2 linked regions of the Tamandua tetradactyla genome follow. The protein of the gene in region 1 interacts with the protein of each later gene in a biochemical or structural test. Links are inferred from orthologs where the notes say so. Each region holds a gene or a part of one and is shown in the gene's direction. Other genes may lie near its edges. The genes, in order: DAB2 and FCHO2.

The links.
Region 2: the proteins of DAB2 (region 1) and FCHO2 form a complex in vitro, tested with the Homo sapiens proteins (2 studies listed by BioGRID). The link is inferred for Tamandua tetradactyla from reciprocal best matches to the Homo sapiens genes DAB2 and FCHO2.

Annotation. Positions count from the first base shown.
Region 1 is NC_135335.1:89,515,691-89,531,035, reverse strand, and holds the start of DAB2 (disabled homolog 2), read left to right. Parts: upstream 1-7,016; 5' UTR 7,017-7,300; intron 7,301-15,345. UniProt on the Homo sapiens protein: Adapter protein that functions as a clathrin-associated sorting protein (CLASP) required for clathrin-mediated endocytosis of selected cargo proteins.
Region 2 is NC_135347.1:59,620,228-59,636,419, reverse strand, and holds the start of FCHO2 (F-BAR domain only protein 2), read left to right. Parts: upstream 1-8,087; 5' UTR 8,088-8,184; coding exon 8,185-8,217; intron 8,218-16,192. UniProt on the Homo sapiens protein: Functions in an early step of clathrin-mediated endocytosis. Has both a membrane binding/bending activity and the ability to recruit proteins essential to the formation of functional clathrin-coated pits.

The DNA of each region.
Region 1 (15,345 bases):
TCACATATATATAAGGAAGAACTGAAAGCCTTGAAAAATAGTGACACTGTTTTGGTTTGCTATAGGTGCTGAAATGCAATATACCAGAAATGGGTTGGCTTTTAACAATAGGGATTTATTAAGTTGCAAGTTACAACTCTAAGGCCATCAACAGGAGATACCTTCAAGAAAGGCTGATGACATCATGGGTTTCTTTTGTCACATGTGGAGTCATCTGCTGGTCCTTTGCTTCCAGGTTCTGTTGGTTTTAGTTTCTGTATGTCCTTGCTTGCTTCTCTGAGGACACCTCTCTGACCGCTCTAAGTCCTGCAGGTCTTCTTCCAGCATCTCTGGGGCGTTTCTCTCTTGCTCTCTGCATCCTTCACTTGGTTTCATCTCTCTGCTCTGCCTTTCTTTGGGTTTTCTGTCACTATTCTCTTCATAAAGGACTCCAGTCCAAGGATTAAGCAGCACCTTGAATTGGGTGGGTCACATCTTCATAGAAACCACCTAATGAAAAGGTCCCTCCCACAATGAGTCTGCCCCACAAGACTGGATTAAAAGAACATAGTCTTTTCTGGGGTACATAACAGATTCAAACCAGCACAGACATTTTGTGGGAATTTTGCCCAACAAGTCTTTTAGGAAACTTGAATGCTTTAGGTAGCTTGAACAAAAGCATGGATTCTATGTGTGAAAGGGTTCTATAAAGTGGTGACAAATTGTTCTGTTCACAGTTACTCTATGAGATTTTGTCACACAGTATGAGAGACATTAATAAATATGTGTCAGCCTGTCATTCTTTCACAAAACACTCCCTTAACCCAAATAAACAGGCTTCTGGAGGCTACAATGGCCGCCTTTGTCTAAGAAATACTCGCTGAATTGTAGATCCACACTGTTTTCTCAGAACACCAATCACACAAAACTCCTTATACCTGGGAAAATACAACAATGATGCTCTTTGGAAATATGAAACATCTCTGGAACTCTCAGAAGCACTACAGGAAAGTGCAATCATGAATCATTTGGGCTTTGAACAGCTGTCAGATTAAAACTACTCTATTATAAAAAATGAAGATCTAATAAGACAAATTGAACTCCATATCAAAGTTATTTTGCCATCCAGTTGTGCAGTGAGGTGACACAGAGAAGTGAGGGTCTAAATTTATTATTTCTTTCAGACATTGTAAAAGATAATGTTTCTTTGTTAGTGCTATAATTTGAAGAAACTTTCTCATGATAATTAAGACCTGGAAAAAATTACTCCACAGGTAAACAAGAAAAAGTCACCACTGAAAATAAAAAGATTCTATCCTGACAATAATATCTACTACTTGCTTGTGATGAAAAATAGCAGCTAAACGGATGCACAGGTGGTTCAGTCGTAGAATGCTCACTTTTCATGCAGGAGACCCAGTTTCAATTCCTGGACCATGTACCCCACTGCCCTAATAATAATAATAATAATTATGTACTCTGTGAGTACATTAATGGAATATTTCTCCAGGTAAACAACACCTCAGTCATTGGCTTCTTTGGTATATTTCCACGGGAATTTCTAACCATGAAGCAGTTGATTCAATTCCTGGGGAAAGCAGTTCAATGCCAAGACCACTTCACTGAGCTTTAGAAAGAGGCATTAATTATTCTTTAGCCCTTTCTAGAACCCATGTTTAAATAAAAAAAAAAAATTGACTGTTGGTTAATTCTCTTTCTCTTTAATGATAATTTTTGTAGAATTGCTCATGGCTATTCATCTGGAAATAAATCCACAGGAAATGTAAAAAAATTTTAAACTTAATAAAATAGTGGGAGGATGAGGGAGAGAACACAATCAGGAAATCTATTAACTTCTATTCTGAGTTGAGACTCCGGATCATCTGTGTGTCCCATTTAGTTCAGGGCAAAAAATACTATTTATCTGGAGATATAGAATGTTAAGTCATGAATTGCTTAAACAAATACTTTTTAGTGTAATCAAGTCTCCGATATTATTGTAATCTGTCTTCTTTAGCTTTAACTAGCTGTGCAATGGCAGAGGTTTTTTGTTTGTTTGTTTGTTTTTCCTCTTGGCCAAAATAGTCTGCTGTTCTTCTAAAAAAGAAACACTTTCTGAATATTGTCCTCATTTGATTGTATCCAGCCGGAGTTGGTTTGGGCCTGGGTTTTGCAAAATCAGGGGTTTTACCCAACAATGGCTAATTTGAGTTTTGGTTTTGGCGTCATGGTCTGTAAGAACATGGAAGGTTTTCACTTTCCAAGTTTTCTTAACTGACTGGTGACACATCCTGAAACTAGAATCCCTGTTTTTCTTTTCAATAATTTTTTCCCTGCTGGCAGAGTGTCTTGTGAAACTTTGTTAAATCATGCTATTTCAACCCTTCAATAATAAGCTAAACTAAACTTTTGCCTTTATAACTTTGTCATAAACTCGTATCAGGTGAGGAGCTTTATCAACCTGTCTTTTTAGTAACTTGGAAAAGAAATCAACTTCCTACTCTGCTCCCCATTCTTTTTCTACAGCTCTCTTCCCTCCTTTCTCTTGCCGACAATAAACCCACCACCTAAAATCTTCCCAGGGCATCTCAAAATCTTCATGGTTTGGTTCTTGTCCTGCATGCTATAACTCCAACTCAGGACTCCAATTCCATTAAATTTTTTTCATATATTTGGTATATATGCCATACATATTCTTAACTTACATGTATAATAATCCATTGATTCTAAGACTCCCTTGGTTGTAAGATGCATCATTATTTTATCTACCACTAGAAAAGAATGAAAACACCACTAATTAAAATTTATAGCTTGCCATCAGATGTATAACATATTCCAACAATAGAAATGTTAAAACATGGAAAATAAGACAAATCTTAGAATTGATGAAACGTGGTGACTTAAAGCAAACAGGAAATACCTTCAGATTACAAGGCATGACAAAGGCATTAAAAGAACAATCAACTTCCACCCATTTTGATTTACTAGTTACTCATTATCTTGCCTATCTTTTCCTTCAATTGATTACCTTGTTACAAAAAAAAACCCAAAAACTGATGCCTACTAAACACAGGTCCTTCGGTAGGTACTGGGGGCACATAATAAACAAGAAGCAGTCTTTGTTCTCAAAGAACAAAGGAACAAAATCACTCATGTTAGGAATGGATACAAAAAGCAACTAGGAGATTATAATCGCAATATCAGACAGAAGTACTGAATTCTGTGGGAGTAAAGTAAAAGGTGACCTAACCCAGTCTTGCAAAGTTTAAAGAGAACTGCCCAGAAAGCCACTGCCTAAGACAAAATCTCTAAGATGAATAACAAGAGTTATCCATCCACTGGGACAAAGTGATTGAAAAAAAGAGGGGCGGATACTCCAGTTAAAGAAAACAGTAAACAGCAAAAGAAATACCAGTGTTGTGTTTTGGAAAATGCAAAGGGATCCCTAACACTACAGGACACGAAGTGAGCTCACTCATGGTCGCACAAACCAAGCAGAGAAGCTCAAAACTGATTCTGAGGAAATTGTTGAACTCAGTGAAGGCCTTAAGCATAATGTGACAAGATCACTTTGACAATTTATTTTCATTTGTTTTATCTTTGCTTCATTAGAATCAAATTCATCATGACAGTTAAAAATTCAAATTGTAGGAAAAAAAACTTATGAAAAACATTAATTTTCTCCTCCCACTGCAAGCCCATTCCTGATTCTGATAAGAAACCAAAATTCTTTCAGCTGCTTCTTGTTGCAATTACCTTCATATTATTTTTTTTTAACTATACTGCTGTTGTTCAATTTATCATTTTAGATATAACCCAATGGTCATATTGGGTCTTTGGTTCTGGAAGATTTTGCTCTCTTTTATCACCACCCCCACTTCTCCTTCCTTTCAATATTGTTAAATATTATTTTTGGCTATAAAATAGAGTTCTTTAGTGTGTTCTAAATGCTCCAGCAGACACATTGTCTTCCTACTGTTTCCCCCTCCTTTGGCCAGTTATCAAATCAGATATAGTTTGCTATACTTTCCCATAATTTTTTCTTGGAGGTCTCCCTCCAAGACCCTTTCATTCCTATTCTCAAGTGTGTGTCAGTTGGGCTCCAGTCTTGACAAACAGTTATCAACCTGGGTATTTTCCTTTTTACTTTCTTGAGTTTAAAACACTTTCCTGGATCATGGGTTACTCCCCTTTTTGCTGGAGCACATCTTCTGATAGTTTTCTAAGAAAAGGTAAAAAGATAAATTTTCTGAAAATTTCCTTATTCTATTTTCACCATGATTAGTAGTTTGGCTGGGTATAAAACTCTAGGCTGAAATAATTTTCTTTCATAATTTTGAGAGTTTTTCCCCTTGTCTTCTAACATCTAACATTACTGCTGAGAAGTATGATTTCATTCTGAAACTCATTCACTCAATGTAATGTCTCTCTCTCTCTCTGGAATCATTTTGATTTTCTCCTTCTTGGCTTCTGAAGTTACCTTATGATATATTTTGACATAGGTCTTTTTTTATTTTGCTGAAGACTCAGTTTTGTCCTTTTTATTTGGAGATTCCTATCCTTCAGTTTTGGTAACTTTTCTTTAGTGCGTTAAAATTGTCTTCTCCTAGTATCTCTTTAGTCAAGTGTTATACTCCCTAGTTTAATTGTCTGTGATTCTTATCTTATCATTCAAATCTTATGGCTCCATCTCAGGGAACACCTCTAGAATTTATCTTCCAACTCTACTTCTCATTTTTATAGAGGGAGGGGTGGTGCTATCCCATTTTTATTTTCTTAGAGCCCTTTATTGCTTCTTATTCTTTTGCAAAATAGCAATCTGTTATTTTTTATGGAATAAATAGCTTTTCAAACCTCCCAAGAATATCAAGAAGTAGACACATTTAGTATTTGTATGATTCCTGCATTATCTCTAAATTCTTCTCTTTCCTTGTTTTCACTTTGTTTATTTTGGTCTCTCTCTTCTACAGTGAAGGTTCTCTTTATCTTTCTGGTGAGCCAAGTTCATTCATTCATGTTTAAGAGTAGGGCATTTAAATCCTAGTGGAAGCTCAGTACACATGGACTGGGTTAGATGATTTCTCTCCAGGGAGATCTTGTAAGAAGCAGTTCCCCAACTGCCAATGTTTAGACATTTTGGTGATTATGTTTTTTCAGACAAGTAACCTTCTGATCTCTTGCCTTGGGGACAGCTACTGGGCTCTCTGCTATATGCATTAGAAGGGAAAGTGGACTAGGAAGATCAAACTACTATAGTATAAGCAGACTCTTATTAGTTCCCTTGAGTTTAGCCCTGAGTCTTACCTTCACATTCCACCATACCTGAATTGCCAGCCATTCTCATTCAGTTTCTCAAAGTAATAAATAAAGCCCTGATCTTCTATGGTGATGATGGGGAAGGGGCATTAGTGTTCTCTTCAGGGTATGCATCAGAGAGTTGGAATCACCTGGTTGTTGATATTCCATTCACTGGGGGGGAGGGGAATGTCAATGTATTTGATCTTTCCACTTACTCTAGGCCCATGCCTCACTGCCTCCACCCATCACCTCAGCTAAGTCTTTCCAGGGTTTTGCATTGTGAACTGCTTCTAGTGTGGTTACTACCCTCCCTCCATACACATAAATTCTGGATTCTTCTGCCCTTATAAATTAGTATCGGCACCTTTGTCACTTTCCACCCATTGAATGATTTGTACTTGCCTGCTAAAGTCCCAATCTTATATTCTTTTTGCCCTTCTGGTTTATAGTCTTTTATTCCTTTAAGTAACTGCTTCATGAAGCTTGGGCAAGAGGATAAACATGTGATTTCAATCTGCTTTCTTTAACTGAATACCATATATTTACAATTTAGATCTGCAATGTTTTAGTGCAAATAATCCCATTGGCTCATATATGAAACAAACATTTTCTGAACTATAAATTAATAAACATGATATGAACAGTATGAAAGCCATTAAGACAAAATATTTGAAGTCAAGACTATCTTGAAAAATCTGGAATGTAGGGCCAGAGTTCTTATCTAATGTCTCCTCTCTGCTCTCTTCTATGCTTACGTTGCTGATGGCTTTAAATAAAGCCACAAGACAAAATGGAACAGTAACATGTAAGAAAAACTCTAACCTGTGTAACTCTCACCCTTCAATTCCAAATTTCTCACTCTGTCCCTCCTCCCCCACAAAAAATCTTACCAATATTTCAAGGGATTTGTACATAAAATTTCAGACTTGGACAGACTTTTTTTCAAGATAAGGACCAACTCTTGGCTGAGAAAGACTCATTCTTTCATCTTTTTGTATTGTCATTGCACAATTCAACCAACAACTAAGTTTTAAAACCTTCACTTTATGGGAGGCACAGCTGGTCAAATCCAGTGCTCACTATATTTTTGTTCATTTGTTTGAATTCTTTCTTTTTGCTTGTAATTTACTCAATAAATGCACTCTAAATGGGGCAAAATCTTGTCAAAAGTTCCTCAAACACCAAAAATTTAGAAATATATAGAGACGTGTTCTCCTCTAGAAGGGAAGAGATTTTATTTAAAATAATTTGATAAGACCTTTGGTGTGGCTGATGATAATCTGTAGGCCTGATAAGACCTTGGGTGAAAGTGATAAAGAAATGTCAGCATGTATCTGCTCGAGGACCCACAAGAATTCAGGAGCTGCAGAAGACAAGAGAAAGCAAACGAGAGATTTCAAAATCATTTTACCTATGAAAAACATAGGAATTTCAGGAGGGGAAGAGTAAATTCAACACAGAGCAGAACATGACGTTTAATAATAAAAAGTCTAATATTCAAATATTTATGGACTAATATTATTCATATATATGGCAAAAAAATTTCATTTCCCATTCATTTCCACAAACCTTCAGAAAAGACTGCCACCCTCCCAAAGGTCTTGGTTTAGGAAGGTTTCCTATGGAGAATAAGGAGAACTGATTAAGGAAGATTGCTGATTTCTGTGCCTGCATTGATAGTGTAAAGCAGAGTCGGCAGGCAGGATGAACCTTGAACTGAAACAGTTCAGCAGAAACAAGAACTCCAAACCAGCAGTGGAGGGAACATGTAAATCATCTCCACTGGAGAATCCTCTGAGAGAAAGGAAAGGACTCAAGGTTCAGAGTACGGAGCTAACATCTGCGTTAGTTTTATAATAATGTCTCTGAGGCTTAAACAAATGGCAAAAACCCCTGTAACTGTCTAAAAGAGACTGAATCTCGTACTGTATCTGCGTTTGATGAGTAAAGAGAAAAGGCATTTAACCTAAGAAGGACACAATAGAAGACCGCAGAAAATTCCCTTTGCCGAAAGCATTCTGGGGTAAGTTAAACAACCTCTGTGCGCAGGAAGAGGTGGTATTAAAGAAGGAATTTAAGTACTGCATTGGGGGCTGAACAAGAAGACGCTGTGGTTCTTTAAAATCTGAGAGTCTATAATTCCAGGAGTTATGCAGACTCTGACCATTTCAATTTAGCCCAACTGGAATGGAAGTTAAAGTGATTTTAAGTATAATGCCTCAAGGCTCTCGGTGGAGTTCAGCTCACCACGTGGTAGTACTGATTCTTATTCAGGACAGTGACCGGGCAATGGAGGTCTTGCGAAAACGATTCCAGTATTTCCTGTTGGATATACTCGTTCTCTAAAGACACTGAAAGGAGAACTGAACAGACTTAAAAGTGGAAAAGCTTCCAAAATCGAGGGTAGGGACTGGGGGGGAATATTGGACCAGGCTGGAAGAGGCTGTCTCTTACAGAGGTCTCCTAGTTGAGACTGGGTTTTTGGTTCTGTGAAAGAGCTTTGCATGCTAAATTATTTTTGTGTTTGAGATGCTTTCTCGAAAAAAGACTTGCATTTGAATTCACGATGCAGTCTTTTTTTAGGGATAAATCAGTAAAAAATGTCCACACTAACCTGTCATTTTCCTCTTCTATTTTGAAGCTCTCTGTATGGCAGTTAACTTCTACCCAAAAACAAAAAATGTGTTTGGAAAATTCCTGGTTAGGCCACTTGCTTGCTTTGTGAATGACATGTGTGGTTAGCTATAACATATATATAGCAATGCTTTCTTCTTATTGCTGCCTTCTTCATGCATGTTTTTCTTATTTGAACATTTTTATGGAAGTGATTAAATATTTGGTTTCAAGCTAGTGTAGAAATTGTGGAGATATAGAAATACTCTCTAACTGAAATCCAACTTACATACACCTACACAGTCATACAAACACACACATGCATTCACATTCCTAAGATATGCATGATCAGATAGTTTTTATTTGATTTCAGTGTCCTTTCTCCCCCCCCCCCCCCACCCCCCCTTTCTCTTCTCCCACTCTCTTCTCTCTCTTTTTCTTTCTGGGAGTGTAGAGAGAAGAAAATGAAGTAAAAGTGATTTCTATTTCATTTTAGGCTTGCTTTCTAATAAAGGCAACATTGTTCAGATGCTCAGTTCTCCAGCTCTTACCCAGAGTTAAATGTTGTAGAAATGTTACTTCAAGCCTTATTCAGAATGACTGAAATATTTTTGCAGGGTGTCACCTTGCAAAGCATCATTAATGTTTACAGTTTCAATAGCAAGTTATATTGCTATAGTAACTCCTAAAGGGATATCCTTTCCCCACCCCACCCCACCCAAAAAAGCATGAACTGAAGAGAAAGCAAACCTTGGTATTTAGGCCAAAAATTCCTCAATACTGATTAGCATTTAGTAAATTTTCAAAACGTATCCTCAAGGACTGGAATGTTTCCTATTCTATTAAATCAGTTTTATGCAGTGTTGTATGATAAAAACTAACAATCTTAAGAGAAGCCCTATGTTTTTATTAGAAATTTCAGTTTCTGTTGACACTGAGGGAAAAGGGTTATAAAAAGGTAAAACTGGGACTCTTGCCAGAATAAACTTTTTGTGAATAATTCTACAGCAATTAGAAACCTAAAAGATGTCTATTTAATATTCCATATCTACCCATGGACTTAATAAGAAGGGAAAAAATATGTTTCATTTATTGCTCCATTGCTATATAATTCAGTCCTTGGGTCTGCAAAGTATTTATAATGTTAAAGCTGAAAGAGATTATATATTTGGAAATATTTCTTAAAAATCTACACATCATTATTATAAGAAGGATTGATTTATTAAAACAGTTCAGAAAATTTCTTTAACTATCCATGTTAATTTATCTAAGAAATATGAGTGGATCATCAAATATTATTACTATCCTGTGGATACATTGTATACTCAATGGAAATACCAACATCTTTCCATGCTTTGTCTTCCGTCTGTAATTTGGAGTAGGGTTAAGACATGACCCTTGCTAAGTTAGCAAGTTGAGGCTCCCCTAAAAAGAAAATGATCTCTAATTAAGAGCTATATAAAATTATTTGCAAGTTAAAAATGTTTAGAATTTACATAGATCAATTGAAAGCAAAAAACTGATGTGTTTAATTTTCCTTTTCACAGCAACAATAAGTTATTTCAACAACAAAAGTATTGGTTTGAATCTTAGTGCCTTCACCACCAATTTATGTGCAGTCCAATAAGCCCCCTGACTTCTTTGAAACCCAATTTTATCATTTTTAAAATAGGGGTAATTATGCTTGTCTAACTTGCAAATGGCTATGATGCACGGATTAGAACATATGTGATAGTTTATTTAAACAAAGTTGCTGAGCATCGTCTTCAATAAGATCAAAATTATTTCCAAGCTCTAACTCATTGCTGCTTTTGCCATCTGGAGAAGATGCTACCAATGCTAGCAACAGGAGGATAAGGAGAAGTTAAACCCCCCTCCCAATATGGGCTGTACCTTCACAATGTAGAATTGCTTTTTTGTAGTCACGTCCTAAATACCAAGGACTGAGGTCTCCGTCAACAACACACCCTCAAAAGAAAATCTACTTGAATCTTTGTAGATTGGCTTCCTGGTTTTATGAAGCCAGGAGAAAGAAAAACAAGCCGGAACATCTCATCAGACAAGCACATGACAGCACTGTAGGCCTCCTTCTGGGGCTCAGAAACCAGGTAGACTTTGTACCTGTTTGTCCACCTAGACACCGAGTGTGAAGCAGACAGGAAAGATGAGGTCATTTCACAAATCATCAGACTTCAGCTTGTCATCAGAAACCCAAAGAAGAGAGTACTTGGGGAGCTTAGGGGTATCAAAGAGGGGCCCTGGCCTGGGCATTCTGATAAGACCTAATGTTGCATGGAGAGTGGTTAACATTACCCAATGGATCCTTGATTGCTGGAGGAGCTCCTCCGTCACACACAGATGTCTGGTCCCACGTCTGGCAGGGAACTGGGTACACAAAAGCAGACACTTTCTAAGAGGTATAATGATAGCCCAAGTCTGAATCCAGAGCTTCTAAATCCTGAAATGATATTGTTTTTGCTACTTAAAATTAAAAAACAAAAAAGGTCCATGTGGGAAACATTCTGAAGTAAGTCACGGAAATTTTAGAATGGGAGCTACCATCTGTTTATTTCCAGCACCCAACCCAGTAAATGGCACATGGGAAATGTTGAATGAATGAATGAATGAACTCCACGAAATGCCTAATGGTAGTAGCGATTGTCCTTTTTTTTTAAGTCTAGAAATTTTCAAACATAACATTAATAGAGAGAATAGTATATTGAACACACATATACCCATTTTTGGCTTCAACAATCTTTTTTTGTCTATTCTCCCTCAATTTTGGAGATAGGTTATTTTAAAGAAAGCTCCAGATATCATATAATTTTATCCATATTTATTTCACTATGTAACATAAAGATAAATAAAGACAATGCAAAGATATTTGACAAAATTAATTCCTTAATATCTTCTAAAATCTCTGTATCAGAAATGTCTTTTTTTAACATTTTTTTATTCAACATAACAATATAAAAACACATTCTTACCATATGATCATTCCATTCTTGATATATAATCAATAATTCACAATAACATCACAGTTGTATATTCATCATCATGATCATTTCTTAGAAAATTGCATCAGTTCAGAAAAAAAATTCATACGTACCATACCCCTTACCCCTCCCATTCATTGATCACTAGCATTTCAATCTCCTAAATTTATTTTAACATTTGTTCCCCCTATTATTTATTTATTTTTAATCCATATGTTTTACTTATTTATCCATAAGGTAGTTAAAAGGAGCATCAGACACAAGGTTTTCACAATCACACTGTCACGTTGTGAAAGCTATATACAATCGTCTTCAAGAAACATGGGTACTGGAACACAGCTCTACATTTTCAGGCAGTTCCCTCCAGCCTCTCTGTTATGCTTTAACTAAAAAGGTGATATCTATTTAATGCTTAAGCATAACCTCCAGGATAACATCTCGACTCTGTTTGGAATCTCTCAGCCATTGACACTTTATTTTGTCTCATTTCTCTCTTCCCCCTTTTGGTTGAAAAGATTTTCTCAATCCCTTGTGCTGAGTCCCAGCTCATTCTAGGATTTCTGTCCCATGTTGCCAGGAAGGTCCACACCCCTGGGAATCACATCCCACGTAAAGAGGGGAAGGGCAATGAGTTTGCTTGTTGTGTTGACTGAGAGAAAGAGGCCACATCTGAGCAACAAGAGAGGTTCTCTCGGGGGTGACTCTTAGGCCTAATTTTAAGTAAGCTTAGCCTATCCTTTGCGGGGTTAAGTTTCATATGAACACAACCCAAGATTGGGGCTCAGCCTATTGCTTTGGTGGTCCCCAGTTTTATTTAATGGGCCTATATTGGTGCAATAATCAACTAGGTGCAGCTACTTTCTCAAACTGGAACAACAGGAATAGTAGAAGATGGTGAACATATTAAGCTCATAAATCCTTCTAAGAAGAGGAATGTCACTCATGTGGATAAACATTTCTAGTTTGGAAGAGTAGGTGAGCAGGGGAAGCTAAATCATGCTAATTTGGGACTGCGCTAATATGCTGATAGAGTCAATGAAAAATACTGATGATGAGAACCTTAGCAATCATCTAGTTGTAGCATTTTTAGGCTTATTGAGGGTAGAGCCCTGTAAGACATGCAGGTCTTATCAGAGCATCATGAAATAATATCTTTAATTTCATCCTACGCTTCAGGAATAGTTTAATTGGACAAACATAAAAACTCTATTATATTTGCAGGGCTGCATTGCATCATAATTGGGAGGACAGTAAAAACAGGCTAGAATTTGACATTCAAAAAATATTTATTGTTTATGAAATGTTATTGATGTGTCTGGAGAAACAACAGTCATTAAAACAGGCAAAATCTCAGCTATCATGGAGCTTAAATTCCAATTTAGGGGTGGGGAAAGAGATGATACAATAATAAGTGAAATGTGTCAGATATTAAAGTATATCATTTGGTGATATAAGTGCTGTGGAGAAAATGTAAATCTGAGTAAAAGGATAGAGTAGTGGGGCAGTATTCTACACAAGATGGCCAAAACACTCCCCATGAGAAGGTGACATTTGAGCAAATATTTAAGGTAGTTAAGGGAACTAGCCAGTCCAGACAAAGGGAATAGCAAGTGCAAAGGTCTGAGGTAGGAATAGCAAGAAGGCCAGAGTGGCTGGAGTGAAGCAAGTGAGGGGGAGAACAGAAAGAGCAGGCATCAGATAGGTCATGGAGGGGAGGGCAGATCAAGAGTCTTAGAGCCATTTGTAAGGACTTTGGTTTTGATGCTGATGGATACGGGAGTTTTTAGGGTTCCAAGCAGAGGTGTGATATTATGTGGCATGTTTCATGAGGACCACTGGCTTATATGTCGACATTAATCAGTGGGATGGAGAAGATGAAAGCAGCTAGTGGTTAATGTAATAATCTATGTGAGAGATGGTGATGGCTTGTAGCAGAGACTATCAGATAATAAGAATAAGAATAAAATATAAAAATGTTCTGTTTTTTTTTCCCATGAATACTTATCTGCAATATATTTAAGTGTTTTTTATTACCTGATAGAATTCATTGCCAGATAAGGGAGGCAAGCACAAAGGGTTAAAAATTCTTTTTTATGGAAAAAATCTTAAAATGAGAAGAATCTAAGGGTTTCCTTCTTCCCTGAGTTAACAATGAGAACTATCATATATACTTGCCATTTGCCAGGAAGTCGTTATTTAACATTCATTCTTATGTCATTTAACCCTCACTATAAACCTGTGGCACAAGCATTGTTTTTCCATTTTACAAATGAGAAATTTAAGGTTCAGAGAAGTTAAACAATTTATCCAAAGTCACACAAATGACAGAGCCTGATTTTAATTTACATTGCTTAATCTCAAACCCACGCTGTTTCCAGTGTGCTATAGTGTGGATTATGAAAAGAAAAGTCATTATTTGTTTAAGTATCTGATCATTGGTCCAGATCTTAGAATATCATATTCTAGAGACTTAATGGAAGTTAAGAAATTAAGTGCCTGGAAAAAGCTTTTTATTTGCAGGTTTTTGGTTAATCAGCTTGATCCATTATTACTGGGTAGGATATTGTGAAAAGAGACTCTTCAGGAGTCAATATGTTAGGAGAGAAAGAGGCAGGTTACATAACCAATGGCGGCTGGGCCAGGCCCCGTGCGCACCGCAGTGGATTGTATATGGCTATCCCAACCTCCGCATTCAGTATTGCAGCTGCTGGCCTGAAGCTGACTTCGTGGTGGGTGCATTTACTCTATAGAAATAGTCAAATGTGATAAAATAGGGCTTTTTAAATTTAGAGGCCTGGTTTACCAGTTGTACTCTTACCTATAACTCAAATTCAAACATCTAGAACTAAATATAAAGGGGTGTGTGTGTGTGTGTGTGTGTGTGTGTGTGTGTGTGCCTGCATCTGTGTATTTAGGAGAGATGCAGAGACAGAGAGAGTGCTACCAATGCTCTTAGTGTGGTTAATATCTACAACTAGTGGACAAATAAAACAAAACAGGGGGTGTAAGTGTAGTTCAGTGGTAGAATTCTTGCTGCCGTGTGGGAGACCCAGGTTGGATTCCCAGCCTGTGCACTTCCCAAAAGACAAACAAACCAGCAAAACAAACAAAAACCAATAAACAAACAAAAATTCAACACACGGTCCTGCCATAATGGAATACTCATTTGGAAAACTAATGAAATTTGACCCCACCATACAGCATATAAAACAAATAAATAAAATTAAAAAATAAAACAAACAAAACTAAACTGCCCTTTGTTCTAAATGAACCAAAATAAGAAAAAGTGCCCACTTGGCAGATAGATGCATCTTTTTTTTTTTTCTTCTAGGGTTGCTGTTTATGATTTTTCTTCTGGGTGCTAGGGACAGGTGGGGGGGCTTCAGCATTGCTCACCCTCCAGATGCAAGGGCCCTGGGATGCGGGCAGTAAGGCATGTGGCTCTGTCTTGGGAAGGGATTTCTTGGGGGCCCGTGCAACGGGCTGGGGGCCCCGGGGAGCCTGGCCTCGTGCTGGCCAGAGGTCATGGAGCAGCCATCACTTTCCTGTGCTTGGGTGAGGCAAGCTGAGACAGATGCATCTTAAAGTTTATGATTATACATTTCCTGGTTGACCTTAGCAAAATGACTAGGCTGTATGATATAACCATTCTCAGCAGCAGTTAAAGAACTCTAGACAGTTTCAGGAAGACATAGCCTTGGTGTTTATTGAGAAAATACAATTTTGTCAAGCTCAATTCTTCCACGGAAGAATGAGATGACATCAATCCAGGCAGAGGTCTCTTTCATGGGATTAGAGAGCTTCGGCTCCCCTCGGAACAGAAGTAAATGATGAGGTTTTCTTCCCTGAGCTGGCCTGGAGGAATGTCCATTTGGCAAAAAAGAGACCAAGAAGGGGAATCAGTCTGAATATTAACAAAATAATATGATTTACTTGACATGGGAAAAATCAGTAGCTCCATTTAGATGAAGTCATTACATCTCAAAGTCAATTAGAAATAGTGTGAGAGTTATTGGTTATTTTGGATTTTCCCCACAATTTATGTCTTCCACCAGTATTTCTCCAAAATATAGGAGCTTATATATTGCACCAACACCAACACACACACACACATCTTTTCTACCACCTCTACTTCCACACAAATTTCTCTTAAAACCTCTCTCAGGGAAATCGCCTATTTCAGTGGCCTTTTATTGTTGTACTCAGCCAGAGTGTATAGCTCCCCATCTTCTCTTTTTCCTCTCATTGACCACTGTCCAGTCTGGGTCAGACCCAGACTTAAGGCCGAGGCCTGGTTTTTCCCTCGTGGTCAAAGTCTGGGCACAGAGGCAAGGGTGTTGAGGGCATTATCAAAGCAAGGAAAACTAATCCAAATGATGCCACTGCACCAGGGAGGTAGGAATTGCAGGAGCTGGGATTCAAAGCCAAAGTGGGATAGAGGATAGGGAGCCTGGAAAGC
Region 2 (16,192 bases), on another chromosome or scaffold:
TTTCTTTCTTGGCAATTCCTCTAACTTACTGTTACTCATTGTCTCCTTTGCTGGCTCATTCTTTTCTCCTGATCTCAAAATGCTGGAGTGTCCAGGGCTTTCTCCTCTGCTCAACAGCCTCTGTTTCTCTCAATCTTCTCTCTCCCTATGAGAGTTCATTAAGTCTTATCGGTATATACTGATGATCTTCAAATTTATGTCTTCAGCCCAACCTCTGTCCTGAGCTCCAGAGTCATATATTCAATTGCCTGTCAGACATTTCCATTTGGATTTCCAATATACATCTCAAACTTATGTTCAAAACAGAGTCATTGAGGTCTCCTCCTTTTCTCCAAACCAGCTCCTTTCCATGTCTTTTCACTCTCTGGGAAACCATTACGCAGTCAGTTTCTCAGGCCCAGATTTTAGGATCATTCTTGACTCCTTTCTTTCCTTCACACCCCACTTGCAACCCATCAGTAAGCTCTGACCACTTTACCTTTGAAGTAGATCTTGAACCCAGTCACTTTTTACCATTTCCACTCTTCTCATCTAATCCCTGCCACCGTCTTCCCCCGTCAGGAAAATTACATCAGCCTTTTAACTGGCCTCCCAGTTGTTGTCTCCCTACAATCCCTTTTCACAAAGTAGTCAACGTGATCTTTTAAAAACATAAATCAGATCATATCACTTTGTTGACCTAAAACCCTCCATTGGCTTCCTATAGCACTTAAGCTACACCAGTCTATCTACACTTCTACCCTTCTCTTGACTCTGATTTCATCTCCATCTTCCAACTTCCATTCCAGCTCCATTTCCAACTCCATTCTCAACTCCAGCTTCCATTTGGTAACTGCTTTCCAGCTGTACTGGCCTTCTTTCCATTTACTTGAAAAAATCAAGCTCATTGCTACCTCTAGGCCTTTGCTTTCATTGATCTTTCAACATTATTTCCAGACCTTTGCAAGGCTATTTCCTTTGGCTCCTTCAGGTGTCTGCTCATTGTCTGTTCCTCACTTCTGATGAAGTAACATTTTAACTACTGTAGATAAGAAAGGCCCTCTTCTCACCACACTGTACCCTAATTCCACTTCATAACATATATCAGAGTATTTGAAAGGATCTCATTTATTCGTGTGCTTATGGTCTGTCTTCCTGCACCAAGTGGAGTAGTGAAGTGATTGGTCTCATTCACTATTGTATCCCCAGGGTTTAGAACAGGGACTACCTCAATACATGTATTCAATAAGTATTTGTTAAGTAAGTAAACAAGCAAGGGGCCCTCCTTCTCCACGAATGTCCAAGAATCTCAGGAACTATGCTTTTTACTCGTACATGTTACTGCTGAAATCTGGTGTTACATGATGTGCAGAAGTTCAGCACCTGGTAATAACCCCTTGTGTCTCAGGTCCATGCCCAGGCTGCACTGGACTTTGGAGGAGACCTAGCCCACACTCCCCATTCTAAGCTCAACAAAGGGTGCCTCTTGCTTGGGCTCCTGTGATCACAGTCGCTAGTGCTCTGGTCTTTCCGGTGTTCACTATCATCTTCCTCAGGGGCAGCCCCAGAAGCACTGATTTTCGCACGTTGCTGGGGATTCCACTGCCCCATAGACCCGAAAACCATTGTGCTAATTGAATCCAGGCAGTTTCTTGTCACTTTCTTTGTGGGGGGAAAAAAAAGAAAATGAAAAAGCACAAATTGAATTTCTTTGGTGTTATCTTTCTGGAACAAACCTTGATTCATTAATTTACCCATTTAACAAAAGTGTATTGGGCACCAACTATATGCCAGGTCATCTTCTAGGCACACTATTGTTATAATTGTCATCTCGTCATGAATCTGTATTAGATTGCGAATTTCTTAAGAGCAGAGATAGTCTTTTCACTGTAATAGGTGCCCAATATCTAGTGCCTGAGGAAGTGAAAGAGAGAGGAGTTAATGGAAGATGTTAAGAAACATTAAGCCCAGTTACATTTATACTAAAATCAAAACAACCATTACTCTTTACATAATAAATTTTTACATTAAAGTAAATTTTAAATTTTACATTAAAATAAATGTTAAATATAATAACAAATAATTCCCTTTGTTTTCTAGGCTATGCAAAGCAGATACCATGAAATGCATTGGCTTAAACAATGGGAATTAATTAGCCCTACAAGCTTACAGTTTTGAGACTGAGAAAAATGTCCAAATCAAGGTATCATCTAGGCGATGCTTTCTTCCCCAAAACTGGCTGCAGCAATCCTGGACGCCTCTGACACGTGGCAAGGCACATGGCCATGTCTGCTGGTCCCTCCCTCCTCGACAGGGTTTCTTGCTTCTGTGACATTCTTTCTCTTATAAAGGACACCAGTAAGAGGATTGAGACCTACTCGGAATGAGCTGGGCCCCATCTTAAGGTAAGATCCCACTCACCAAAAGATCCTACCCACAACGGGTCCACATCCACAGGAATGGACTAACTTTAAGAACATACTATTTGGGGGTACATACAGTTCCAAACCATCACATCACCCTGATATATATACATTTATTCATTCTTCCATGTTTTCTTTTGATTATTGTTCATTTGCATACATGTTTTGAATATTTGTATTTTTAATGTATTTTCCATTTCGTCTTCTGCCTTTCCTCTTTAACATTAATGAGAAGCATCTTTGCATTCTATGTTCCCATCATCACCTGTGTAGTTTTCAGTAATTAAGCAATTTCTCCTTTTTTATTTTTGAAACTCCTATTGGTTTCCCTGTGGTCACCAGCAGTGAAAATCCCTGAAGAACTTCTCAGGTGTTTTTGTGCTTCATCCAAAGACAAAGGTATATGTAAAATACAAATATTATGAAATTTATTTTAGGAATTGGCTTACACGACGGTGGGGAGGGGCAAGTCCTAATTCCACAGCACAGGCTGCATCCTGGGAACTCCAATGAAGGTTTTCAATTAATTCCCAGGAGAAGCTGGCTGTCTGAAATAGAGATGGAAATTATTCCCTCCACCCCTGAAATCATCAGTTCTCCCTTTAAGGCCTTCAACTTGGGTGAGACTTCTCTCACTGTTGAAGGCAAACTCCTTAGTTGATTGTAGATGTAATCAGCCCTAGATGCAATCAATTTACTGATGATTTAAACCCACAACCTACCCTCACAGTAACCATCAAGCCAATGCTTGCTTGACCAAACAACTGGATATCATAACCTTGCTTAGTTGGCACGTGAACTAACTAACACAGACAAGAAGGCAAGGGAGCCCCTGGAAAGTATGTCTCATTCTGAAGGAAGAGATGCTGCTGCAGCAGGGAATAGGCAGTCTATTCCAGGTGCATTGGGGAGTGAAGAAAGGTGCACCTGGCAAGCTACCCTGAGCTGAAGGTGTGCGTGGAGAGTGATGTTTGAATATTGCAATTTGATTAATGTGTTTCCCCTTCCTGGCCCTGGCATACTGGCCTGCTTGGTACCATCTGCTAAGCTTTTGCTTTTCTTTCTGTTTTGCATAAAACTTTTCCTTTCAATATGGTGCTGTTAAGTGGGGGAAAGGAGAACATCAGACATCAGGGATCTGCCTGTTTTTCTTCTCCCTTTTAATAGAGCTCAGCTCTTTTGTCATTTGTTAGTGTCAAGTACAAGATGAGTGCAGAGAAGGGTTACTTCACCTGGCACAGGACACTCCTCCTTGAAGGTATTAGCTGGAAATAGGAGAGGTTTTTAGGAGCATCTCTGCTTGGAAACAAGCGAAGGAATATTTGTAAAATTATAAGGAAAATAATTGAAAAAATGTGTCTTACTTTATAGCCAACTCTTCTGGAGTAGAACTGGTTTCAAATGAAGTAATGAGGAAATGGTGCTTGTGACTAAATGCTGACTAATATGCTCTAGGCTGAGAACCCAGAACTGGAAATGGGAGATCAGACTTGAGGGGAAGTTCTCTGGGCGCCTTGCCTAAGGAAGTGGGCCTTCAAATCTTGGAGACAACCCACATTTTGGAAACCAGAGAATCTAGGTTTATGTTATTTCCCCTCTCTTGTTTGCTACTGCTTATTGAGTTATGTTTATACAGCCCAGGTGTGTTTTGGACTATAAGGTACATGCTTGGGCCAGTTTACTGGGGAGCAACAGCATTTCCTGGAAACACTGTTGACAGGTGTAATTAGAGAGACATCCTAAGAGGAAGATGAATCTAGGGAAGAGGACAGAGGCTGGCTGACACCACTTATATTCTTCCTGTACTACATCATCTCCTCTGAATTTAGTCACCGTAAACACTATTTACTATAAAGTCCCACAACTTAAAAACACTAGGCAATTACAGCTTATGGTGTTTTGGCCCTATGAACATTACAAATACCTGAAATACATAGAATATTTATCTTCACGGCTGGCCTACCCCTGATATTTATGGGATCAGAGAAGGGACTATATGTGGGGGTCAGTGCACTACATGCAACTATTGTGACACTACTAGGAAACAATGGTTGTTATGCAAAAATCATTCAAGCTGAGAGGAAATATTTGACAAGACAACTAATTTATTTCTGTCTTATCTCAGCACTTCTGCTCAAATTCTGCCTGAACTTCAAACCAGTCTATTTCTGATATCAGCAACCACACCACAAGGTTTAACAACATTTGAGGTCCATCTTTCGTTTTGAGGACATAAGGCAAGAGATGTGAAAAAGCATTTCCTCGCGTGTGAAGATATTGATCATGGGAAAAGATATTTAGGGTTAAGAGGTTATGTCAGTGTTCAGCAGCAGATCATGAGTGACATAGGCACCCAGGTGTTTTTAATAAATTAACATGTGTGTATTTGTGATATGTAGGGTCCTTTATAGCATGGAGCCCAGGATAGGGACCCCACTTGCCTGGTCTAAGGGTGGTAATGCTTAGTGAATACTACAAATTTAATGCAAAGCTCATTTGCAGGGTGGTCTAGACGGATGTGTCATTTTAGAATTTCTTCAGCATTAAGAGATAGCACTAGATCGACAGCTTGGAGAACACTGTAGCATGTACCTAGGTTTAACTTTCCCAAATATTAGAAGTAACATATAATATTATGAAGACTTTTTAAATAAAGAAAATAGCATTTTCCAACTTCAACACACTTAAAAAAATCTATTTATTGTGGAAAATTTCAAACATATACAAAAAATAGAATAGTAGAATGGACCACTACATTTCCAGTACCTATCTCCAACAACTATTAATTCATGGCCAATTTTGTTTCATTTATACCACTACTCATCCCTAAATGAATTATTTCAAAGCAAAACATAAATGCCGTATGGTTACATCCTATATGTATCTAAAAGATACTCTATCACAATTATTCCCAATTTTCAACACTTTTCAGTTTGATCTATGTGAAAGGTACCATGTGATTTTTGCTTTTGAGGATGTATCTCACCATGAAAAGAAGTGTTACTTTACAGCGCTCACAGTGTTTGAAGTCACAAGATCTGAGTAGATTTGGTGTGCAGGAATAGCTAAAACTACACCGAGTCCACGTGTGGGGCTTCAAGAACTGCTAGCTCTATCTAGCTTTTGATAGAACTATCAAAGTTCTTTAACAAATGATCAGGTTACAGGGAATTTGAGACCTCATATTTTTACATATATATTTACTGTTGTAAAGCAATGTGTGGGAAGTGAACTTAGTTTCTCTATCAGGTCAAGGCATGTTAAAACTTGCTTCTTTTTCCAAAATGTACAAGTTGCTGAAAAACCATCGCCTTACATAAGCAAGACCTGGAAGAGATTTTTTTTTTAACTGTTCGGGTCACGGAGAGAGGTTGGTTCAGTTCCGTGCCCACTGCCAGCCGTGCTGGCGGTCAGCCTCCGTGTCCGCTGCTGGCGGTGCTGGCGGTCAGCCTCCGCGTTCGCTGCCGGCCGTGCTGGCGGTCAGTCTCCGTGTCTGCTGTCGGCCGTGCTGGCGGTCAGTCTCCGTACCCGCTGTCGGCGGTGCTGGCGGTCAGTCTCCGCGCCCGCTGCCGGCGGTGCTGGCGGTCAGTCTCCGCGTCCGCTGTCGGCGGTGCTGGCGGTCAGTCCCCGCGTCCGCTGCCGGCCGTGCTGGCGGTCAGTCTCCGCGTCCGCTGTCGGCGGTGCTGGCGGTCAGTCTCCGCGTCCGCTGCCGGCCGTGCTGGCGGTCAGTCTCCGTGTCTGCTGTCGGCGGTGCTGGCGGTCAGTCTCCGCGCCCGCTGTCGGCCGTGCTGGCAGTCAGTCTCTTTGTCCGCTGTCGGCGGTGCTGGCGGTCAGCCTTCGCGTCCGCTGCCAGCCGTGCTGGCGGTCAGTTCCGCGCCTGCTGTCGGCGGTGCTGGCGGTCAGTCTCCGCGTCCGCTGCCGGCCGTGCTGGCGGTCAGTCTCCGTGTCTGCTGTCGGCGGTGCTGGCGGTCAGTCTCCGCGCCCGCTGTCGGCCGTGCTGGCAGTCAGTCTCTTTGTCCGCTGTCGGCGGTGCTGGCGGTCAGCCTTCGCGTCCGCTGCCAGCCGTGCTGGCGGTCAGTTCCGCGCCTGCTGTCGGCGGTGCTGGCGGTCAGTCTCCGCGTCCGCTGCCGGCCGTACTGGCGGTCAGTCTCCGCGTCCACTATCGGTGGTGCTGGCAGTCTCCGCGCCCACTGCCGGCTGTGCTGGCAGTCAGTCTCCGCGTCCGCTGCCAGCCGTGCTGGCGGTCATTTCCGCGCCTGCTGTCGGCGGTGCTGGCGGTCAGTCTCCGCGTCCGCTGCTGGCCGTGCTGGCGGTCAGCCTCTGCGTCCTCTGCCGGCCGTGCTGGTGGTCAGTCTCCGCGTCCGCTGCCAGCCGTGCTGGCGGTCAGTCTCTTTGTCCGCTGTCGGCGGTGCTGGCGGTCAGCCTCCGCGTTCGCTGTCGGCGGTGCTGGCGGTCAGCCTCCGCGTCCGCTGTCGGCCGTGCTGGTGGTCAGTCTCTTTGTCCGCTGTCGGCGGTGCTGGCGGTCAGCCTCCGCGTTCGCTGTCGGCGGTGCTGGTGGTCAGCCTCCGTGTCTGCTGTTGGCCGTGCTGGTGGTCAGCCTCCGTGTCCGCTGTCGGCCGTGCTGGCGGTCAGCCTCCGTGTCCGCTGTTGGCGGTGCTGGTGGTCAGCCTCCGCGTCCGCTGTCGGCCGTGGGGGCGGTCAGCCTCCGCGTCCTCTGCTGGCCGTGCTGGTGGTCAGCCTCCGCGTCCGCTGTCGGCGGTGCTGGCGGTCAGCCTCCGTGTCCGCTGTTGGCGGTGCTGGTGGTCAGCCTCCGCGTCCGCTGTCGGCCGTGGGGACGGTCAGCCTCCGCGTCCTCTGCTGGCCGTGCTGGTGGTCAGCCTCCGCGTCCGCTGTCGGCCGTGCTGGCGGTCAGTCTCCGCGTCCGCTGTCGGCGGTGCTGGCGGTCAGTCTCCGCGTCCGCTGCCGGCCGTGCTGGCGGTCAGTCTCCGCGTCCGCTGTCGGCCGTGCTGGCGGTCAGCCTCCGTGTCCGCTGTCGGCCGTGCTGGTGGTCAGTCTCTTTGTCTGCTGTCGGCGGTGCTGGCGGTCAGCCTCCGCGTCCTCTGCTGGCCGTGCTGGCGGTCAGCCTCCGCGTCCTCTGCTGGCCGTGCTGGCGGTCAGCCTCCGCGTCCGCTGTCGGCCGTGCTGGCGGTCAGTCTCCGCGCCGGGTCACAGGCCGCGCCGGGACTCTCCGGTGACCCCAGGCTCCGTCCCTCCCGGCTCGCTGGCCTGGGCCCCTCCGGGCCGGCCTCCCGCAGCAAAGGTTTCTCCCACCACCGCGCCAGGGGCCCAGCTCCCTCCTCCGAGAGTGACCGTTCGGGGTCCTCGAAGGCCGGGGTTGGCCCTGTCAGGAGGCAGACCTGCCGCCGGCCGACCCCATCTTCGCAAGGCACTGTCCGCAGTGACCCTCCGGAACCCGGCTCCACCTCTCCAAGAGGAACCGCCGCCAGCCGCACCCGGCAGACCCGAGGCCGGCAGCAGCAGCCCCGAAGCCAGAGCCCGCGGCGCATGCGCACAGCGCAGCCACGGCGCCGAAGCCTTCGCCTCCAGATGGCGCATGCGCCCTGGTGGGTGGGGGGCCGGTCTCAGAGGGCGTCGACAGCCGCTAGGTGGCGCATGCGCCCTGGTGGGTGGGGGGGCCGGTCTCGGGACGGCGACGGCGGCGGGCGGGGGCGCCGCGGGGCCCGGCCGGTGTTTACACAGCGACGGGCGGGCGGGACGTGGAAGCCGGCGCCGCGGCAGCACAATGGTCATGGCGCATTTCCTCGAGAATTTTTGGGTAAGAGAAGACTGTTGGAAACCGACTGTTGGAAAGTGTGGGTTTTGGGGCCTGGCCTCGGCCTGCGTGCGCTGAGGGCGGCGGCGGCGGCGGCGGCGGCGGCTCCTCAGGCTCCGCGGGCGTCCTCGGACGGCGCCTGCCGGGTCCCGCCTGCCGCTGGCCGCCGGGACCTGGACGCGCGGGCTCGCCGCTCGGCCGGCGGCGGGGGTGTCAGCGCGGCCTTCGGCCCGCGACGGGGCCGCGGGGCTTGGACAAAGCGCGGGTGCGGCGGGCGCCGGGCGCCGCCACGGCTCCGGGACTGCTCGCCGGCTCCGGGCCCCGCCGCGGGCTGCCCTCCCCCCGCAGACTCCGGGGATCCCTGCGGCTCCCGGGACTCCCCAGGCCCGTGCTCTGGACCCCCACTGGCTCCGGGCCGGGCGGGGGACTCGCCTCCCTTCGGCGCGCCACCACTTCCCCCGGAACCCCGTGCGAGCTGGGGCTGGGTGAGCCGTTCCCGCGGCCCCCGCTCGGCCGGTCGGTCGGCGCCCGGGCCGCCCTGGGCCTGCCCGCGAAGCGGGTCCAGGCTGAGCTTCGGTGGCCGAACGACGGTCGCGGCGCGGAGCCTCCCGCCTGGCCCCGGCGCGCTCTCGCGTCCTGCGTCCGCGCCCGTCCTCCTCGGACTCCGGCTGGGGAAGGCCGCCCCGCTCCCCTGCGCGGGGCTCTTCCGCGGGTGTTGGTGGTGGTGCGGGCGCTCGGCGGCCGGGCGCCGGGCGCCGGGGAGGAGCGCGCGTCTCCGGTAGCTGGGGCGAATGTCATCTTTCCGCCCGGCAGTTCAGGCTGCAGTTCCCTCTTAGTTGACGCGGAAATGTTTGACGGAGTCATCTTTTCGTGAGGGATTTGTCCTCAGTTCTTAACTCTCAGCCTCTCATGTATTGACTCGTTTGGTAATCGAATCAGTTCAGAGTTGTATGCCACAATGTACCTTGTTTTCCACAAGCAGCATGAATACTAGATACTAGGATTTAAAAAAAGTCTTACTGGGATATTATTTACTTAATGTACGGTAAACCCATGTAAAGTGTTAGTTGATTGACTTTTAGTTTGTTCACAGAGTTGTGTAATTACTATGATCAATTTTCGAGCAATTATATCAACTCAGAAAGAAATCTGTACACATTAGCAGTCACTTGGTGTTCTTTCTCCCCCCAGACCCTGACAACCACTAATGTACCTGCTGCCTCTGAAGATTTGCCTCTGCTGGACATTTCATATAAATGAAATCAAATAAGTGGTCTTTTGTGACTGGCTTTTTTCACTTAGCATAATGGTTTCAAGATTCATCCGTGTTGGAGAATGTATCAGTAATTCATTCCTTTCTACTGCTGTATAGTATTCCATTGTGTGGCTACACCACATTTTGTTTATCCATTCATCCGTTGATGAACATTGGGTTTTTCCACTTTTTGGCTATTATCTATAGTGCTGTGATGAACACTTTTGTAGACGTTTTTGTGTGGACAAATGTTTTCATTTCTGTTGGGAGAGGAATTGCTGGGTCACATGGTAACTCCATGTTTAACATTTTGAAGAACTGCCAAACGGTATTTCCTGTACAATTTTACAATTCCACCAGCAGTGTCTGAGGGTTCCAGTTTCTCCACATGCTCATCAACATTTGTTATTATCTGTCTTTGTGTGTGTGTGTATGTGTGGTTATATATACATAACAAAATTTCTCATTAACCGCTGTATTATATGTATACAATTCAGTAATTTAATTGCGTTCATAATATTGTGCTTACTGTCACCAGCGTCCATTGTCAAAGCTTTTCTTCCTTCAAGTAGAAGTTCTACACCTGTTAAGCAATGTCCTACTCTCTCCCTCTTCCCAGCTTCTTGTCACCTTTAATCTACTTTTTGTTTCTATGAATTTGCTTATTTTAGTTATTTCAAGTAAGTGAAATCATAAAATATTTGTTCTTTTGTGTCTGACTTATTTCAATCAACATAATGTCTACAAGATTCATCCATGTTGTTGCATGTATCAGAACTTCATTCCTTTTTATGGCTAAATAATATTCCATTGTTTGTATATACCACATTTTATTTACTCATCTGTTGCCGGACACTTGGGTTGTTTCCATCTTTTGTCTTTTATGAATAATGCTATGACCATTACTGTACAGATATCTGTTGGAATCCCATTTACAGTGCTTAGGGGTATATATGCCTAGAAGTGAAATTGCTTGGCCATATGGTAATTCTGTGTTTCATTTTTGGAGGAACCATTTAAGTGTTCTCAACAGCAGCTGCACCATTTTCATTTCCCACCAATGATGTGTAAGGGTTACTGTTTCTCAGCATCCTCTCCAACACTTATTTTCTGTTTTTTTCTTTTAATACTAGCCATCTTTGTGGTATTAAGTGGTGTCTCATCGTGGTTTTGATTTGCATTTCCCTAATGGCTAAAGGATGCTGAGCATCTTTTTATGTGCTTATTGGCCTTTGGTGTATATTTGGAGAAATGTTCATTCTCTTTTTATTGTGGCACTGTGGATATGCCAAAAGTTGTTAAAGTATTCTTCTGACTATGGGCAGTTAGATTGTTTTCAATATCTTGCTGTTACATTTGTGATTACATTTGTATATGCATGTGTATATCTTTGGATAAGTGTCTCTTCAGATCCATTGCCCATTTTAAAATGGGTCGTCTTTATTTTACTGAATGATAATAATTCTTTATATTTTGGATACAAGTCCTTTATCATTATAAGTAATTTGCAAGTGCTTTTTCCCATCTGTGGGTTTTTTCTTAATTGATGGTGTCCTTTGAAACACACACATACATTTTAAATTTTGATGAACCCTTGAAGTCCAATTTATTAAATTTTTTCTTTTATCATTTGTTCTTTTGGTGTCGTCTCTAAAAAGTCTTGGAGTTTACCTAACCCATGGTCAAAAAAATTTACTCCTATATTTTCTTCTTTGAGTTTTATACTTATAGCTTTTACATGGCCTTTGATTCACGTGGAGTTCATTTTTGTGTTTGTACTAGCAGTAGAACTTCATTCTTTTGCATGTGGATATCCAGTTGTTCCAGCATCATTGGTTGAAAAGACTGTTCTTTCCACATTGAATTGTCTTGATATCTTCGTCGAAAATCAGTTGAACATAAATGTAAGGGTTTGTATTGGACTATAAATTTTTTGCATGCCAAGATCACACTGTTTTGATTACTGTAGATTGCCAGTAAGTTTTGGAATCAAGAATTGTTAGTCCTCCAACTTTGTTCTTCTTTCTCAAGATTGTTTTGGCTATTCTGGGTCTCTTGCTTTTCCGTATGAGTTTTAGGAACAGTTTCTTAGTTTCGGGTATTAGGTTTTACAGTGGTAATTATGAAAACTTTTTTTATAAAAACCATTTATTCCGATTAAATTGACGTTCTTATATGTTTTATGTAATTTTTTGATTCATAAATTTATTTTGAAGTTTGCTAACTTAATTCCAAATTGCATCTTAACATTACAAAGGTTGTATTTTATTTTCTGTTGAGTGAGCTTTGCACATAGCTTTGTTTGATGTTTTTGGCTATTAGGAATAATACTTCTATGAATATTTTTGTGTAAGCTTTTATGTGTCTCTTTTTTTGCTCCTGTTTTTAGAGAAACTTGGATATCTGTACTCTAGAGAGAATTCTCAAATCTCATTTATGCCTCCGTTTTTACCTTCACTTCCAATAAATATTTTATTTGAACAGATTGAGTACAGATAGTAAAATAGACTTCATTTTATCTTATTTCCTAGCCTGGAATTGGGACTGAAAACTCTAAATTATAGTTTAAAAAGCTTCAAAGGAGGGCTAAATGAGCTAGGAAAGTCTAGGAACTAGTACATAACCAGCTTCTGAGAATGTGATAATTGTCTGTTTAAAACAACTTAAAATTTACAAATTTCAGGATCATTTATAAAGCAATTACTCAAATAGAAAACTTAGAATATTAATTTCACATTTTTCCTAATATTTAAAGTGGCACTACCAATACAAAAATAAAACTTGTTGGAATAAGTTTAGTGGGAACCCTTAAAATTTTAGATTTCTGACCCAAACAGCCTATTAATTACTTTTCCCCATGCACATATAAAGGCGAGTTTTTTTGTTTTGGTGTTTTGTTTGAGGACATTTAAATCACTGAAATTCTCTTCAAGCTCTTTTAAAAACAGCACATGCTGTGTTTTCCTTTAAAGTATATTCTGTTAATTAAAACTTTATGCTGCTACGTATTCCTTTAACTTAATACTATATTCTGAAGTGAAAAGTGTATTAAAAACTTCCTATTCAGCAGGTGTTTTCTTACTGATAAGTCAGTTTTTGCCACACACCTGAAAATGCTTTTCTTTCTATTAAAACTTGACAGCAGAAATAATTTTGATAGCAGAAATCCTTACCATTGCCTTCAGTGTTAAAAACAATTGTTAGCCCTTCAAAATATTATTAACTTAAATAAGGTTATCTACAAGTATTACAGTGAGGTAGTGTCTCTATATGCTGTTTCTTTCTCAGAGTTGAGTAGTAGTTTATAATATCCTTGAGATTGTCTCTGTGAACATTGAACTATAGTAATTAAAATTGTTTTATATTTTTACATAAGCCCAGGTTATTTAGTTCAGGAATAAAAAACTTTTTCAAGGAATGGATTTCATAAATAATAATTATTTACGGGGAAAAGATAAGTGAGCACAGCACACTTGAGTTGAATACATTATAGACCTCATTTTACACAGTAATCCCCATCTGTATAAGCTATGATGCCGTCATCCAAAGGCCCTTGACTATTTTTTTGTGTACATCATGTTGTAATGAACTGAGATTTTTAGTTAGATGATTTTTCCAGAGGTTATCTCTAGTCAGCACATGAAAAATGAACAATCAACAATTATGTTAGGCATTTTTTTCCCCTGAAATTGTGTGCAGAAGTTTCATTCTCTTTGTCTTTCAATTTCACTGGTATTGTCATACTTTAATTTTAATGGAGCAGTTGGTTATATATCCAAACATTGATCTGTTATTATGTGGATAAGGTTGGGAGATTTAAAATGTGTTTTAAAAATCTGAAATTGCTAATAGGACTTGGATTGCAGAACATTAATCCAAACTTAGCATTCTGGATGACAGACTTAAACATATACATGTACACATATACACATACACACATTCTTTGAAGTTGTTTATCCATATGAAAATTAAAAAAAAAAATAGCTTTAGAAAATTCGGTTGTGGTGACCACAGAGACCCAGAATATAGGCTGTCTTTTTGTTACTTGAAATTCCCAAATATTGTAGTTTGGGGTATGGGTATCAGCCTAGTATATGATCTCATCAGATGATATGCTAAAATGTAAAAAAATTATATATATATAAAAAATTAACAGGCTTGCAAATTTCACATGGTTCAAAACTCAAAAAATACAAAAGGAAATACAGTGTAAAATCTTTTTCTTTTTCTCCAGTCATCAAGATCGCTCCAAAGGCAGTCACTTACCAGTTTCTTATATAGCTTTCCAGTGATAACCTATATTTATATAACCAAATGTCCTTCATTAAATTAAAATATATTATTGTATGACTGTTAGCCATGCTCAGATTGTTCTCAACTGTAGCAAGTTATGAAAATGTAAGTTATAGATTTATCCAACTTGGTTCAAGTAGATTTGATAGGTGGACGTTATAAAATAATAGTGTTTTAGCTCTCACTGAGTTTTATTTTGAGACTCTAGGGTTGTTTTTTTTTTTTAGTGGGGAGGGGCTGTATGTTTACCTTAATAGTTGGACAAATTTGGAAATGAAAAATTGATAGTGATTTAGACTGCATAAGTTCAGTTGGAAGAACTTTGGTAGCAATCAGATACACAAAAAGAAATTTAGATGGGTCAGATGTGGGGAGAAACAAAAACAATAGAACAAGAGCAATTGAGACCTATAATGACTACTTATTAGAAGAGGTGCCGGGGAATGTCAGTGGAGTGGCCAGAGTTAGAGAAAGTGATTAGTGAACTGTGTGATGAAGTTCAGGAGCTCTTCTTGCTTCCTTATGGAATTGCAGAAGTAAAAGCCACGGAAAATAGCACAAGCATGTTTGTTTGACTTTAGGGAAAAGATAGGAAGGTACAACATAAGTAAAGCAAATTGGTGATGATGGGGGCAGAAGCCAAGAAATGTAGAGGTTTTAGTTGTTTGAAACTGTTAACAGTCAGTGAAGAACATTGTTATGTTCTAGGTAAACTCTCAAGAATACAAAAGAAAACTAAAATTACCTATAGGTCCTCCTCTTACAAGAGTAAATTGAAGCGTTATTAAGAAAGCTGAAGTTATTGTTAATTTTTTTTTCAATTTGAAAGTAAAAACCATATTACAGAAAATTTGAGAGGTAGAAAAATAAAAACAAAAAATTATTATGCCACCGTTGTTTGCTTCTGCTATTTTATTGAACCCATATAATACCTACTTAGAAGGCTTTAATGATTTAACCTGAGGAAACTGACTGGAAGAGATGAGTTGTTATTAAAAGATTAGAGAGGGCTATCTGAGGGGCAGGAAAATGTAATAAGATTTCGTTCCTTAAGTCAATCACCAGATGTGTTCAGTTGACTTTTGTACTTTCATCAAATAGTGCGGACTGCCAGTGGTGCTCATAACGCACCTTTTATTTTTTTTAATTAATTTTTTTATAACACATCTTTTAATCACGATTTTCTGCTTTAGCAATATCTTGCCAGTGGCTCTGCAATATAGTTTTTTGTTTGCTTGTTTTTTGGCGTGGGCAGGCACTGGTAATCGAACCTGGGTCTCTGGCCTGGCAGGCGAGAACTCTGCCTGCTGAGCCATCGTGGCCGGCCCTCTTCAATATAGTTTTAGTAATCCTATCTGAAAACATCAATGTACAAGTAGAGTATTGAATAGAAGGGGTTGTGACTTGTGGTTTTTTTATTTGTGGAAAAACTACTTGCATATGTTTTAATTTCTTCCTGGTAGTTTTCAAAGCAAAAATGGCACTGAAGGGCTCTCATTATATATTTGTTGAACTCATTAAAAATGCCTCTAGTCAATTCTTCACTAGAGGTGTCGATTCTTCACTAGAGGTGTCAGTTCTTCACTAGAGGTACTATTTTTCAAAGAAAAAAGTAAGCTTTGAATTACTTTAATGTTTTATGGTGTCTTTTTTAAGAAAAAGGAATGGTGAAGTAAGACTATATCAAACACATCTTAATGTTATGTTTTGCACTGACTTGTCCAAAAGTTTGTCTAATAAGTGTCAAAGTAAGACCTAGAGTAAAATGTAAATGCAGAGAGATTGGAAAGAGATATTTACGTATTTATTTTTGAAGTGGTTTGGAGTCAGAAGGAAGGGTAGACATGTTATTGTTTGCATGTCAGCCCCTCCTGACCCTTGTCTTCCCTCTCCAAAAAAACAGAAAAATAAAGTCAGTAGAAGCAACTTTCAGAATTCATAGTTTGGTTATACTTTATACACTCATGTCTTCTGCCTATTTTCCAACTTTTGGACTCATGAATGGTTTTTATTTTTTGTGTATAATATACTGTTGTCTTTAAAAGATTCATTGAAGGAAAAGTTTCAAACAATTGATTAAAACCTATGGAGTTTATTTCTTTGCACTTTCTCACTATTACTTTTTGTGATTCTTACATTATAAGTCTTAAAAATTTCATTTTTGTTAGTGTAGGAATTTCATAGCTTTGTTAGTAGAGATATTTATTTTTTTCTTCAAGTGCAGATATGTTAGATTAGAGTTTTATTTGGTTTTTAGATATAAAGTTGTGTTAGAAAATCAACCAGAGAAAAATGCTTTGGGTTTCCAAAATAGGTTCCATGACTTATTTCTACTTTTTAATTAGAAATTTCAAGTGTACCTCACTTGTAGACTCCATATTAGACTAGAAGAAAATCTAAACACTTTTGGTGACTTGGTGATCTTATAAT